Drosophila melanogaster: one gene and its partners. The protein of the gene in region 2 purifies or fractionates together with the protein of the main gene of each other region. This does not show direct contact. Each region holds a gene or a part of one and is shown on either strand. Other genes may lie near its edges.

Region 1 (5,073 bases), 4.9 Mb from region 2:
CTCGTTGTAGAAGCACATGACTATGGAGGCCTGGGGCAGATTTTCCGCTTCCGTGGTCTCCTGGCGATCGCACACCTTGTGCCGAGTGTCTGGGATCGCCCGGAAGAGTCCTATGTTATTGGACACCAGCGCGTTGAAGGCGTGATGCTTGTAGCCAATGTCGCGTATGTACTTGTCCTGCTTGTTGCGCACCACACCCAACAGTTCCAATTGCTCCGGATCACTGGGCGGCTTGGGTGCCGCCGGCGATTCGCCAGTGGTAATGCTGGCATTTGGAGTGCATCCGACGGTGACCCTGGCCTGGTAGCTCAGCTCGGCCCGTGGCGTTGCGTTCCCTTCGTCGATCCTCCATCCTGCCGAGCGGATGGAGCTGCGCAGGCTGTGCGAGTAGAAAAGCAGCGCCAGCAGCCAGACGACCGCCACCAGAAGGGTGCCCAGGCCGCAGGATTTGCACAGGAGGCGCTTGATTTGCATCATGGATCGAGATTAGATTACGTTGTGCGCTTCCCTGGCTACTTAAGCAGCTACTTTGTCACTTTCATGATGATCGGAATAAATTAAATTTAATTTGCATACCATGGCATTCGCACAAAAGCGCGCACACAGCGATGCCACCGAAGATGCTAGCTCAGAGTTTTTCCCGCTAAATTTCAAGGAAATCGAAAATAGTGTAGAATAGTGTAGTGTAGAAAACAAAAATTGGACTGATAACCAGTTAAAATGATTAATTAGACAACCAGCAACAAACAAAAGAACAGTATACGAAAAATCGTTGTTTGACTTACAAACTTTATTGTTCATAGTCATAATCAGCTGATTTCCAACCCAACGTTAGCATCACTAAATAAAACAAGAATGAAGTTATGCGCAAGTCAAAGTTGAGGGTATTCCACTAAATGGATTAAAAAAGCTTTTTACAAAATATTTAAGTAAATCGTAAGTACCCAAATATTTATAAAATTTAAATCTATTAAATGGAAATCCGGTAAATTATAAAATTATCCAGCGATTTGGTGTAGAATTAAATATAAACGAATGGTTAAATATGCAAATTAAAATTTAAATTATTTGAAAGAGAAATTCATTTCTATTGGTAGGGGTTTTATAAATACCATTTTATTTATTTCCTATTGCATTATGCCATTAATACATCGTAAATATTCATATAACATTGATCGTTTCCTCCAATTCTTGCACGCGACAACAACAAATACTCAACAAAAAATTAGGGAGATACAAAAATTCATACATATATATATTATATACAGGGATTCATCAGCCAACAAAAACATGATCTATATCTCAAACGAATTCATCTATAAATTGAGACCGAAGGATGGTGTTAGTGCGATAAACTTTTCGAAATTTCATGGTCAAAACTTTAGTTTGCGCCAACAAACATGTTTAATTTTCTAGTATTTATGCTTAACCGATACAATAAATGTTGCAATGCTTGCGTCTTATTAAGCGAAAGGACTTTATATTTTCTTTTTCTGTTTTTTTTTTTTTTTGTGGTTGCTGTCGCTGTTGTTGGCTCACACATTGATGCTTAATCGAATTATTTAACTACATACATTGGTTTTTGCTTGGGCATCGGTAGATTACGAGTCGGCTAAAAATAAAAGTTGATTTGTATAACTAGGTTTTGCGTAAAGTTAGGTTCCATCATTCATTTAGCACGAGCACTGATCCTTGGCGCCCGTAGCCTCGCTACTCAGCGAAGTTCGCGACGGCTGCGATGGCCTGTGCTGAACTCCGGACTCGGAGGCGTTCAGATCGAGCCGACCCTCCTGGATGTTCTGGTAAATCTTGCGTGCGGTCTCCAGAAAAGCCTCCTCCACATTCTGGCCACTGTTTGGGCGATAAAAAAAAAGATAATCAGTATATGCTCAAACACTATGCTTCCAGTTGAAACTCACGTCATAGCGCTCGCTTCGAGAAACATTAGGCCGTTCTCGTCGGCAAACTCCTTGGCCTCCTCGTAGGTAACCTCCCGAGTGCTCTCCAGATCCGATTTGTTGCCAATGAGAAAGATCACAGTGCTGGGATTGGTGAGATTGCGAGTGTCGGTAAGCCAGCTGCTCAGGTGATTGTACGTGGAGCTGGAATGGTCAAGTTGTAAAGCAATTTCTCAAATAGTAGCTTGCTTCGCTTACCGCCTGGTAATATCGTAGACCATCAGCGCACCAGCTGCTCCACGGTAATAGGAGCGTGTCACTGCCCTGAATCGCTCCTGACCCGCTGTGTCCCAGATCTGTAGCTTGATCTTTTTGTCGTCCACCTCAATGATGCGTGTGCCGAACTCCACGCCAATGGTGTGAGGACAATTGGCCATGACTGCAGGACGGCAAGTAGAGATTAGTTCTTATTACATACATTATTACTCAGCACAGTCTACTCACATTTCTTCTCGGTGAACTGGTGGAGCAGGCAGGACTTGCCCACGCCCATGTCACCAATGATGATGTATTTAAAGATATAGTTGTAGTTGTATGGCGCTGCAGTCATGTTGGGACCTAAAAAGCAAGCGAAATTATTATTATTATTACATTGCAGAGTCATTGAGTATATAGAATATTTCACACATTTTTCAATAAAGTAGTCTATGCGTTCGTGCAGTTTGTTCACCACGCTGCGCACTTTGCTCATCTTGACACCGGCAGAAATGAACTCTGACCCAATCAAACAGTGTTAACTACTACTATCAGCTCCTCATTTGAATGTCCAACCGTAGTCGCTGCTTATCAACAAACCGAGGCGCTGCATTAATTTGTTCTGCGTCGACACCACATTTTGTTCCCCTTTCTCGAACTGGCCCCGATATTTCTTTTTAAGGCCTGCTTGTGTTTGAACAGCCGACCGGGTTTGTTTGCCTGCCAACTGAAGCCAAAAAAAAAAAAAAATAAGAAAGAGGCAAGCTTCAAGAGCGGCGGGTATATCCACTTCATGCCACTTGACTTTGTCCATTCGCAGTATCCGTGTCGTTCGAAAGCCTTTGATTTGTCCGCAGTTAAGGGGCGCTGAAGAGAGTGAATTGAACCCTTCGCCCAAGCTGAAAGCGATTTGGATCAAGGTCGCCGAGCAAGCAATCGTGGGAATTCAATTATTAAGAGCAGTACGCGCGAAGTTATTCATCAAGTTAGTTTGTATTTAGGGTAATCATCCTGCCTTACTTCATATGAATGAATTTCATACAAAAGAATGTGACTTAGCAGCATATAGTGTGAAAAGATGAGTATCAATTATGGATTCTTAATTGCTCATACTTAAATCATCAAATACAGTTATAATCGCTTATCATTGCTTGTCAAAGTGACAAGTGCATATCAGTTTAATAGGCTCTATGACGGGCAGTTTAGACTAACTAAGTAGTAGGTCTCGGTCTCGAGTCTTATCAGTCAAGCGCCAAAGGCCAAACATCAGTGGAGCAATCAATGGAGGCGAAGTACATATGTACTTATTTGCAAAATGTGTTGAATGGAAGTGGATCATCATTGCCCCTCATAAAAGGAACACAGCGGCGCACCCATAACAGGGAAAATAACGAAAGGAGTATGAGAAATATATATTTATACACAGACGAAGTATGTATACCCTTTGGCAAAAAATCTTAAATATAAATATACTTTTATAAATGTGCGCTTTATATTCCATTTCTAAGATATAACTGAATACGATTTGATATTTGAGTATCTACAAATAAGCGCACATCCATTCAAACTAATAAAATAAGCCCGCATTGAAGACAACAACGCAATAAGACACAACAAAATGAAAAAGAAATATATTAATAACTGATAACAACTACTAAGAAAACTTCTGATTTATTATAATTTTTTATTCATGCTCGCCTACATTTTGAAAAAACCTTGTTTGCATAATTCATATAATAAATTAATATATAAGCACAGGTAAATATTTCTATGATAACTCATACACTCATATAATAATCCATCTTATAAAAACTAATTTAGAGTATTTATTTATAGCGTATACTAAACAAACTCCTCACCTACCGATTTTTAAGTAGAGTGGCGGCCGTTTTTGCCCCACCATCCCCTAAAAATTCAAAAAATAAATTATACACCATAAAAACCTGAAACATCCCCAGAATTAATCGATTTTTGTAAATCATATTTATTTTCTTAACTTGGTCACAAAACAGTAACTCCCCATTGCAGGGTATCAAAGCAATCAGGGGGTGTATACAACAACAATGGAGTGCTGCTGCCTAACGACAAAAACAAGAGAGAGCGAGAGCACAAGGGAAAGTTGCGGAGCACCCACAGCTGCACTGCGTCACCCCTTCGCAGACGGTTTTCCATTTCGCATAATTTAATCAGTGTTTAATTGGCTTAAGGAAAAACAACGAATATTACTCACCGTTTTAGATCACTTTAGTTTTAGTCCACCTTAGGGAGCGAACGGAATGTGTAACGTAGGGCGGTTACGCAGAGCGGGGGGTACTGTGTGTATGTGTGCGTATTGTTGTTTGGCTGTGCGGAATTCGATTGCAATTTTTGGGCAATTTGGCGATGCAAAATGCAGTTCACTTTCGTGCTAGCACGCACACTGGCTTCGCGGGGTTGCGGGGCTGCACCGAGAGGCAATTATTGCGATTATTTTCAATTGGTAGGTCGATGCAAATCAGTAGTCTTTTTTCACTGCTTTTGCGTTCTCTTGTTTTGCTTGGTTTCCTGCGGTCACACTGAGCAATTGGCAAGCCAAGGGTCACACTGCCGCGATAGGTGCTTATCGCAGCCAGATGCTATCGACAATCGTGTCTATCGATAGAGGGCGCACGTGTTGCGGACTTCGTTTGTTTATGTTTTAATTTTGAGCAAAAATCGTCCCTCAAGATGTTCGTAAACGAAGTTAACGATGTGAAGATCTACAACCTGAGCGCCGGCAAGTCGGTGCCAGATGTGAGTAGCAAGATAAACCCGTTGCCAAGCAGTTAACTCATGAGTATCTCCTTCACAGTGGCTGACGGATCGGCGAAAGCGGTCACAGCTCATGAAAAAAGTGGACTCCCGGAGACAGATCGAGCTCATCCAGGACTTCGATATGCCC
Region 2 (4,894 bases):
GCAGGACTGGGAACCGAATAATAAATCTGCAATTTTTGTGAACGACTTTCAAAATCCTCAGGCATTGGTAGAGTATCTCAATAAGTTGGCGGATAACAAAAAGCTGTACAATTCGTACCGCCAACACAAACTAAATCGGCGTAACCCCATTTCCAACAAAAAGCTACTCCACAACCTTGTCACGCGCCAGTACCACATAGGCGATTCTTCTCCGGGAGCATCACTCTTTGAGAAGTTCGAGTGTGCAGTGTGCTACCATGTAATCAATACTGCCAGGAACGTGAAGGCCGACTTGCGTCATTACAATTGTCCCCTGGAACCGGTGTATGCTAAGATGGAGGGTCAGAAAATTCCTCAAAATGTCGCGGATTGGCGAGCCGCAATGGAGGTAGGCCAGTGCCAAGCTAAGGTACTCGATGAGTTCTTCCGTCGAGACATCGGTTTCAATGACGCAGAGTTTGATGCTGAGCTCAATCGGAGGATTGAGGGAAACAATTGCAGTAATAGTTCAAATACTTAATTCGAAAAATACGTCAATCATACAGACTTTACCATGTGATAATAAATGTATATTAAACTATTTACAATAAGCTGTCATTTCTGGTATTTACAATGTAAATGTACCTCATCCAGGACTTTATTTTCCTATTCCATTTAATTGAAAACTGTTGTACACAATATAAGTACGTTAGCTTAATAAATATTTAAATACTTAAATTTCCATTGATTCTTCTAAAAATATATGTCTGCATGTACCCATTTCATCTACATCCATTGATCCATCCATCCAAATGATTCCATATGGTGGGGACTTTGATCTCAAAAGAATCTGTGACATCAGTAATCTCTACTGTACAAGATTAGTATACTGGTGCAGTTTCAATATCGTACGGCAGATGCCTAAGAATTAAAGTTTTCGTTATGATATGTTTAAATTGCATTATGATTACTTACCCGGAAATACACTATTTCTCGCAGCCTTTTCGAACTTTCGATTCGGTTTTCTTCCTAACCTAATCATCTCTCTTAAAATTAGAGCCTTATGAGAGGGCTCTGAGGACATCAACAATTTTTGTTTCTTTACTAACGGATAGAATCGTTTTTTCGTAGATGATGAAGACCATTTAAAACCATTATTTAGCTTTCTTTGAGAAATATTCCTGTGCCTTTTTATTTGACTCGGCCGTTTTCGAGGATTGCTTATTTTGGAGCCACAAGAATTAAATTTGTCCTGAACTTTGAAATGGCATCCATTTGTGGAAAGGACTGGTACTTCGACGCCACAGCTAATGCATCGATTTTTATATGTAACCCTATAATTCGACATGGTACATCTGTTGGTAAGAAGCCGAGTCTTGCAAATTTTGAACCAATATTTATATAAAAAATATTTTTATAAGACGATCTCAATGGAAAACAAAATTTTGTAAGTATTTAGTTATACTCTCTACACGGAATCGTTATAAGATAAGAAATATTTGTAAATGGTAGCTAGATTGAACAAGAAACAAACTGGGAGGCCTAATATTTTTATATATTTTTTTTTTTGAAATGATTTAACAAATAATCGCTCAACTAAGCCATTTACATCTGCCAGTGCATCGTGGGCGTAACCTCCTTCAGCTGGCCCATGCTCACAATCCACATGCTGCCGTTCTTCATCATCTCCATCGCGTGGATCATTTGCATGGCTGCCTCCTCGGGCATTTGGCGCTTGGCGCTCTCGATGGCCTCCACCATGGATTCGGAGTGGTGCCAGGTAACGTTGTCGCGCAGGTTCATAATCATCTCGCTGTTGGTGAGTCCCGGGCACATGGCCATGAACATGACGCCGGTCTTTTGGTAGATCATCTTGTCGCCCATGGAGCGGGTGAATCCGAGGATGCCGTGCATGGCAGCGGCGTAGACAGAAAAGGCGGGCGCGGGTTCCAGGCCATAGACAGAGGACATGTTAACCACCATGCCACCCATGCCCATCTGTGTCTTGTCCATGTAGGGCATGGCCATCATCGTCGACTGGATCATGCCAGTCTGTGGGAAAGGATTTAGAAGTTGAGATACCAATCAATAATTTAATTATCTATTCCTTACCAGATTCATGCCCATCGTAGTCTCCACATCCTTGTCGAGCAGGACACCCTCGCCATTGATCATCACATCAATGTGTCCCATCATTTGACCCATTTTCTTCATCGCCTGTTCGATCGACATCTTTTCCATGAGGTTCATTTGCATGAAGACCACTTTCACGGATGGATTAATGGCCTGCAGCTTCTTCATCATCTTAACGTTCTCCATGCGATGCATAATGCCCATCATCTTGATGTCCTTCTGCATCAGCTGCATCATCATCTGCCATCCAATGCCGCTGAAGCTGCCCACATAGACAACATTCTTACCGGTCCAGTCAAACATTTTTGCTTGGGGTTAATTATTTGGGGTTGACGTGGCTTGGATTGTGATGTGATGAGTGACTAACTCTGTCTGATGTTAAGCTAGTAGGTGGCTGCTCTTATATAACACCACAGATGCACCGATTCCAGATGTCCAGCGCATTTAATGTGATGACTTTATTCGGATTGCAATAACATCGCCATAATTTCAGCTATCTTCATCGGGTCAACGGGTGAAGATCAGGTCCCTGTCCATTCCTGATATTTTGAGTTGGAAAAGACGACAACAAGACCGTAGCCAGCTGTTGCCAGAAGGGACCAGATAAGACAGCTTTCGACGACGAGGTCGTTGGCTGGTTCATCTGATCTCCAGCCACCTGACGAAATATCAATATTTCGACTGGGTTCCTCATTATACAATAAAATTGTAGAATTTGCCGAATAAATTGTTGCAATAATTAGGAACATTTGAAACAGATTTATTTTACGTTTTGTGGAATTCTATATATATGTACATTAAAGTTAAAATTTGTTTTTCAATATATATCTTTGAGAGCAATTTTACACTCATGATTATAAGATTCTACCTCTTCATTAGAAACACCAAAAATCTTACAAAAACATTTAGATATTTATTTAAATGACTTATTTAAACATTTTCTTAGACAATCACAGATGCTTATGCTACAACGATGCGAATATTTTTGTATGGAATATGTACAGGTGCCGGAAAACAAATATATTTCTACATCAATCAAAATCAATTTGATCTACACGATCTTTCCAACTCTTCAATAAATAATCTCTAAATTTCGTTTGGCAAGTTTGGATTGTGCTCTCTTTTGAAGGCCAGCTCTTATCGATAGAGTTTCACTAGCATGGAACTAATCATCAATGTAATCCAAGTGGGTTCCAGACCCGATCCACCGCCTCCTGTATTTGGGGGAGTAGCTGTTATCGGCTTGCTGGATCCCGAATCTTCTGTAGTTCCTCCATCAGATCTTAAGTCTGGATTATAATCGCCGCAGGTGGGAAAGTTCTCTGGCACCGGAACCATTTGATCGTCGTTACCCACTTTGAAGACCAGAGCCATACCGATCTCGGCATGGAATTCGATGTGGCAATGGAAAAGCCAATAGCCCGGATTAGAGGCCTCGAATCTGATGATGGTATAGCCTCCATCTGGAATAGTAACTGTGTCCTTCACGGGTGGATTGTCCAGATTCCGCTTGAGTAGATTGAACTGATCCAGTTGTTTTATCTTGAGAATATAAATAGTTACAAGTTAAATAAATATTTTTTATTTCCTTCGAACAAAGTTACTAACCATTTCAACGGTGACATTTTCGCCCAAACGCTCCAATCCCATGACTCTGAAGGCGTTTCCATGCAAATGAAAGGGATGATTGGCATAGTATTGGAATCCCTCGTCCACGATGATCATCTCGACCACGGCGCCCAATGGAACCTGCAGGACATGATGACACTTGCAGAACTCCTGGCGACAATCGATACCCTGATCCATTAAGCTCGTTTCGTTACAGAAGTCCGAGTCCTTTAGCTGACTCCTGGAAGGTAGCAGTGCTAGCGAAGGAAAATTTAAGGTTATATGATTCAGTTGAGGCGTGTATAGGCGATTCTGCTGGGTCATCTCCATGTCCATGGCATAAAGATCTTTATCGTGAAAATCGGGATTATTCTTAGTATAGAAATCGTAGTAGATGAAGAACTTGTAGTCCGCTTCCGGTTTCAGTGTATCGTGATCGATGCCCGAGACATGATCATAGATGGGCAGAGCCCTCATTTCTGCAACGGTTTTGGTGTCCGGGTAACCAGGACCGCGGTTCATCACATTCAGTTCAATGCCCTCAGCCTTGTGGCCGTAACTCAATTCCGCAGTAGGCTCTTCATCTGGAGCTCCCTCATAGCGAAGAATGGCCACTTGAAAGGCGGAAGTAAAGACTTCGCTGCAGTCCATCAAACCCTTTAGTCGAATCCAATAGTTTCCAACCTCGAGATTGGCATTTAGTACAAAATCAAATCGCTCACCGGAATAGGTAACTATAGAGCCCACGTCCATTGCCTCAATATCAAAGCCATCCGAGTTTATGGCTGTCAAGTTATGACCGTCAATAGACACCACAATAGGACAGTTTAGATATTCCGCATTTATAATTCTGAAGCGATAACGAAAACCTCTTCTCACTGTGTAAATCTGATGGGGAACTAGTTCCAAGGGTATCTCATTTAAATTACCCCTCTTTTGGCGGGAATTCACGGGAAATAGTTTGGTTGTATTAGTTTTAGCCAATCGAGCTTGTCTCGGTAGTGTCTGAACGAAGTCCACCTGGGACTTGGGCAATGGTTCCACCGGTTGGGTAGTTCTCTCCTCAGCTCTGCGATGAGCTTGCTTCGCTTCCGCCCAAATGCGATTATAGTAACGTCCCTTGCCGTTCACGAGCAGATTGTGGGGCTTATTATCACCTCGGGAGTGATGATGA
Region 3 (6,021 bases), on a different chromosome or scaffold from region 2:
GGTTTTGGTCGTTCGGGGATTTAAGTTTGGAGTCAGTTGGAGGCTTTGTGCCCGAAGCCGCCCCTTTTCGATAACATTTGGTGTGTAAGCAGATGTAGCTGAGTTTTAATTTAGTTTATTTATTCCATCGCTTTGCGCTTTTTGTTGCTGTACCAGATGTTGTTGTTGCCTGAGGCGACTGTGTGTTAAGCGTGTTAGTGGTTATTTTTCAGACGTATTTATTGAAATTGCTTAGAAAATAATAAGCACAGTATTTTGAAGAGCTCTTCATTATACACTAATAAAAGGCGTTTATGACAAATTGTGCCCGACAAGAACGTTTTTTTTTAGTTGTATTAATACGAGAGAGCTTTATTGGAGTTGCCTGTCACGGTCCTTCGTTTGAGAAATGAAATCGAATTCCGCAGCATTTTAAAGCCATCACTCAAGTCAATTCCTTCGCTTGCAGCCTTCGCCTGCCGGTTCACAAATGAATTTTCCAACTTGGGGTAAACCACGCAATGTACAGTTCGACTGCCAGGCGAATACATTGCCTTTGAGCCTTCCGTCTATGACTGGCTTAGAAAAATGTTTCAAAAAACCAATAAAAATGCCGCAGTCAAGGAGTGAAAAGAATTTTGTTATTTGGCGTCGGTTCTGCTTTTTGTATTTACCAGATAAGTTCTTATTTACAAAAGTTAGTCCAGGTCAACGGAGACCTGGTCGATGGAGAGAAACAGAGTCCGAACACTTGCCATTTGAATGCTCAATAGATTCCGATTCATCATTCGCACTGACGCACAATCCATATCGGAATCTGCATCTAAGGCAGTGTCGGCATCGAAGACTTTGCCAATCGCACAGTAGCAGTTTCAGTTGTCAAATGATTTGAGCGATTGCCTTGCGGCAAAGCCACACAGAGCGTAACGGCCAGCCAAACAATGGACCTAAATTATTGCCAAATAGCATATACTCACCATCGCACCCACGCCGAAAGTATCTCACAGATACATATACCGCTGGACGAGTATCTCGACAATTGCCTGCCCCAAAACCAGGGGCCACAAACTTTGTCTACATTGTTCGCGTACATAGCCTTGCCTTGGATATGATGCTGCATAATTTCAATGCTCGCGCACGCGGCGTATACGCAACATGGCCAAAACGCCTTTGATATTGACCGCTCATAGCTAAGCAGTCTCAAAAATTAACCGAGTGCATGACTCGGAAATGAAGTTTACATTTCCTCTTCCTTTTTACCTGTGCGAAAATGTTTTACCCAGCTTCCCACTCAGCAACACATACAAAAGGCCGTTCCCATTCTCTTTTTGTCATGAATATTAATTTTTAGAGTTGTTTTACAGATGGGGCTCTTCTAATTAGCTTTTGCAAACAGTGTCTGTTAAGTAGAGCCAGTAATTGAATCACAACTTCGGAATGAACTTTTAATGAAGCATGTCGACTATTTAGCCATTAGTCTCAATACGGCTGTCTTTAAATTCAAATTCCAATTGAAAGCAACTATTTAATCAATCGCGTTCACTTGTTTGAAAAGTAAAATCCTGCCACAGACTTCACCAGACACGCGTATCTTAGCCCCACGCCTTTTTCCATTTAACCAAGGCCATTGGTTTGGCGAGGGCGGCTTGCAGACAAAATAAAATGCAAGTTAAATGCGTTTCATAGACCGTCTGTTGCGGTCTTAGAAACCTTTTGCATTCTTTTTTTATTTGCCCGTTCATTCAAGGTTTTTCTATGGATATTTCAACAGTTTGTTTGTGGCGGCGATGGAAATAGTGCTCACAATATATTTACGATATTCGGAATCAGCTTGCCAGCTCACCCACCTCAAGCCTATGATTTTCGTCCCAAAGCATAACTTCAAATCAAGCGCATATTAAATAAACAATCATAATGGAGTACCGACTGAGCCCACTCGGAATTTTATAAATCCCAAATCCTTCAGGAAGGGATACTAAACCGAATTCTGTTCGGTTTTCTGGAGGCGGAGCTAAAGAAATTACAGTCATGCTATGGAGTCTCTCTCGTTTCTGGTTCGACGGCACTGCTCTCGCTCACACTTTCAGGCTGAGCAGCTGATCCGCTCTAACCACCGGTACCGATCGCAGCCTCTCGCTCTTGCATCGCCTGGCTGCCGGCCTGCAATTCCACCCTCGCGCCCGCACTGCTTCTTCACTGAACAAAACTAGTTTCTTGGCTCTGAGAATCTCACGGATTCGTTTTAGTCTTGCGGCTGACCGTTTCAAAATCAGTTTCGAGCTGTCAAGCAACCGAGCAGCATCATCATTCACTGCGCACTCGCAACAGCAGATACACACTCCAAAAATAATTTAGAATTCCTAACAGTCGGGCCTCGCGAAGATTAATTTGAAACGTATAAGTAAAAGTGTTAACAAAACTCCGAAGAACTCTCAAAAGGATTACCGCAAGGAAATGGCTGTTTCGGCTCTCAACATGACACCCTACTTTGGCGGATATCCCTTTCAAGGTAAGCACCGACAGATAGATACAAGATCACAACGACCATTACCAATTACCACAATTACTGGTACAAAACGCCAGATTCAGACGCAGAAAAGTGCTGGCTCATCATTTGGGGCAGCGCTTTCGCCCGCTGTTTTCAAACGAGGGATCATTACCCGTTCGGCAGCATGATCAGCTTTCTGACTTATTGATTGTAATCGGCAACTAGCCCGGACAGGCAATGGCCATACCCAGACCCAGTGAAAAGCCAACCTCTTCGAACCCCAGCTTAAGGTGCGGACTTTGCAGACTTTTTGGCGCGACCGTCTTGCCAGCTCATGTCTCGACTCATGCCACGGCGGCGTCGTGTCGCTGGGCTTTGATCTTGAATCGACTCAGTGTCTGTGTTGGAGCTCGGGGTCTTGTGTATCACGTAGCTCAGTAACGTCAGCGCCCCAAACATCAGACCCTGCACAGGGACCGGGCTTTCATTTCTCTTTACGGCTGTTTTGGGGCCGCCTTTTCATATACACACACTTGTATTAGCCGGCGCAGCTGGGCATCTGCTGCTCTTATGGATTATTAGTTTGATTTGATTGCAAAAGCCGGCCCGGGATGCAGCTATGTTCGCAGCCGCGTCCCCTGTCGAGATTGGTATTTTTCCCCACCACCGCATACCATTCGTCTGCAAGAGGCTTACTATTTTCTCAAAAAGGCCCACGCAAATGACCAATTTGCGTTTTGTTATGTCTACAAATGGCTATGGTATCGTTTGTGCCAATCTTCAACAAAAGATCGTGCGTATTGATCCTGCGGCTTATCCTGATTAGTGCAGTTCAGTTAGTAAGCAATTGAAGTGGTCAATGCCGTCTAACTAGATTACTTTCTTTCGCTCAATGGAGCAAGGAAAAAAGTTAATTTAAATATCGTTCCGAAAACAAGACCACACAACTAACGTACTTAAGATATTGTAATGGGATCAGACTTCCATGGACGTACTTACGAACAAATGCTGACTTGCAAGTGTATTCATGCCTGTTTCTCTAATTCTTCCAGGACAAGGTCGTGTCAACCAGTTGGGTGGCGTCTTCATCAACGGCCGTCCGTTGCCCAATCACATCCGTCGCCAAATCGTGGAGATGGCAGCAGCTGGAGTCCGTCCCTGTGTCATCTCCCGCCAGCTGCGCGTCTCTCATGGCTGCGTCTCAAAGATTCTAAACCGCTTCCAGGAGACTGGCTCCATTCGGCCCGGAGTAATCGGTGGCAGCAAGCCCCGTGTAGCCACGCCAGACATTGAGTCCAGAATCGAGGAACTTAAACAGTCGCAGCCCGGTATTTTTAGTTGGGAAATCCGCGCCAAGCTAATCGAAGCGGGAGTCTGCGACAAGCAAAATGCTCCGTCGGTGAGCTCTATTTCGCGTCTTCTGCGAGGATCCTCCGGATCAGGGACCTCCCACAGCATCGACGGCATCCTCGGCGGAGGCGCTGGTTCTGTGGGAAGCGAGGATGAGAGCGAGGACGATGCCGAGCCCAGTGTGCAGTTAAAAAGGAAACAAAGGCGTTCCCGGACGACATTCTCCAACGACCAGATCGACGCCCTAGAGCGCATCTTCGCCCGTACACAGTACCCCGATGTCTACACCCGGGAGGAGTTGGCCCAGAGCACGGGATTGACCGAGGCCCGTGTCCAAGTTTGGTTCTCTAATCGCCGTGCTCGTCTGCGCAAGCAACTGAACACCCAGCAGGTGCCTAGCTTTGCTCCCACATCTACTTCTTTTGGCGCAACTCCCACTACCAGTGCCGCCCCTGCTCCAAACATGGGAATGAGCCTTTACAGTTCACAGAGCTGGCCATCATCCGGAGCCTATGAAAATCATGCTGCCTATGGTGGATCGGTTGCATCCATGTCCCCCGCCAGCAGCACCTCGGGTACCAGCTCTGCCGCCCACAGTCCCGTACAGACGCAAGCGCAGCAGCCAGGAACTGGAAGCGAGTTTATGACCTCCACTTACGGCGTGGGATCGAGCAATGCTACTTACCCATCGGCTGCCTATTCAATGCCGCAGACTCCTGCTACATCCGCGGAGCAGCTGAGATCCCAGTTTGCATCTGCCGCCGCTTCGGGCTCTCACCACCCCTCCACGTGGGACAGCTACAACTTTGCGGGTTCCTTTTTCCCTCCCGCTTCTGCCGCAGGCAACCATATTAGCGGCTACCATCATCAGGTTGATCAGAAGAGCTCAATGATGACCACTGCACCAACCTATCCATACTTTGGATTTTGAGACGATCCCTGCTTGTTCCTAATCTTGTGGGTCGTTTGAAAACTTTAACAGTACTTTAATGTTGCTACTCGTATAGACCTACATTTAACACCCCTAAGACTGTTTAAATTAGTACTTTAATACAAATGTTAGTTTTAGGTTAAGGAGCAATTATCAAAACAATAAAAGAAAACATTTAAATAAAACCCAACGGTTAGTTTTATTTCTGAGAACTAAAATATACCTATATATAATTTAAAAATCAAGAAATATGGGATCATTGCGTTTCTGTATACCCAGAAAAAATAAAGTACGAAAAGCTTTATTAGCTCGTTAAACATAATGATATCTCTTTAATCCCGCAATTCTTTACCTTTTCAATGTTTCCAAATTCGTATTTTATAAATTTCAAACGGTGATTTTTGATTTAAATGTAAGTGTACGGTGAATTCAATTAATTCTGAATGGAAGTTATATCCAACCATATAAATTTTCACAATATACTCAAGCCGCTTACACTTCATTAAACTAATAACAATTCTAGACCACACACATCAACAGTTTTTGTCAAGTTCCTGTGGCAACCTAACAGGTTAACAAGCCCATCCGAGTAATCCCTCAAAATAGTCTAGAAACGTTTCTTTAAATTGTCAAAGTGATGTTAATCATCGATCGTCTTCAAATCTGTGCAGATTGGAAGAAGGCCGTGATCTGGATGAGGGCGCTCTTTAGGCATATTCAAACAAAAACTGGCTCATGATCTGACCATTAAACAATTAGAGACAAAAACGGACAACACGTACTGCGGATTTGATAATACAAAAATAATTAGGGATTGGTGAATGGTTTGGGAAAACCACACACATCGCAGCAAAATAGAGTAATTGACAAGGTAGATGGGCAAAGTATGAGCAGTGGAATCGGGCGACCACCAACGTCACTGAATCGTGACTTTTAAGATGCCGCCAAATGTGGGCCTTTCCGAAGATGATAGGACCCGAAAAGGCAGCCAAGTGCACACAGAAATGAACAAAGCCATTGACAATATGACAGCGAGGGAGGGCAGGACTCATACTTATATCAGGCTTCTCCCCATGCACTAGTTACGGACGATCGGGATCTTGGGTGGTGTTGCTGGTAGGTACAGCTGTAGTTAGGACGGACCTCGACGATCGGTGTCTTTCTTCAGGACCTTCCCGCTGCTCCCAATTATGTGTGCTCAGCGGGCGTTGCACTTACCACCTAGAATGAAAACGTTCCCTGGCGGTCAGAGTGCCTAAATGAAAACATCAAT

Evidence for each region. The genes of interacting proteins can lie anywhere in the genome.
Region 1: the proteins of Fbp2 (region 2) and Rab14 purify together in Drosophila melanogaster (affinity purification with mass spectrometry, with the first as the bait; one large-scale study listed by BioGRID). This does not show direct contact.
Region 3: the proteins of Fbp2 (region 2) and gsb purify together in Drosophila melanogaster (affinity purification with mass spectrometry, with the first as the bait; one large-scale study listed by BioGRID). This does not show direct contact.

Annotation. Positions count from the first base shown.
Region 1 is NT_033779.5:14,354,784-14,359,856, reverse strand, and holds Rab14 (Rab14), read right to left. Parts: upstream 2,817-5,073; 5' UTR 2,650-2,816; coding exon 2,586-2,649; intron 2,577-2,585; exon of another isoform or gene 2,517-2,576; coding exon 2,403-2,516; intron 2,338-2,402; coding exon 2,157-2,337; intron 2,103-2,156; coding exon 1,920-2,102; intron 1,852-1,919; coding exon 1,674-1,851; 3' UTR 1,093-1,673; downstream 1-1,092. Other genes in the region: Pgant35A (polypeptide N-acetylgalactosaminyltransferase 35A), read right to left, coding at 1-477; l(2)34Fd (lethal (2) 34Fd), read left to right, coding at 4,860-4,925, 4,984-5,073.
Region 2 is NT_033779.5:9,424,456-9,429,349, reverse strand, and holds Fbp2 (Fat body protein 2), read right to left. Parts: upstream 2,567-4,894; 5' UTR 2,416-2,566; coding exon 2,092-2,415; intron 2,032-2,091; coding exon 1,585-2,031; 3' UTR 1,433-1,584; downstream 1-1,432. Other genes in the region: FucTB (alpha1,3-fucosyltransferase B), read left to right, coding at 5-520; CG42847 (uncharacterized protein), read right to left, coding at 848-900, 955-1,327; Mco1 (multicopper oxidase 1), read right to left, coding at 3,250-3,654, 3,721-4,894.
Region 3 is NT_033778.4:25,059,715-25,065,735, forward strand, and holds gsb (gooseberry), read left to right. Parts: upstream 1-2,249; 5' UTR 2,250-2,433; coding exon 2,434-2,488; intron 2,489-3,519; coding exon 3,520-4,748; 3' UTR 4,749-4,929; downstream 4,930-6,021. UniProt on the Drosophila melanogaster protein: Expressed in segmentally repeating pattern to define the polarity of embryonic segments.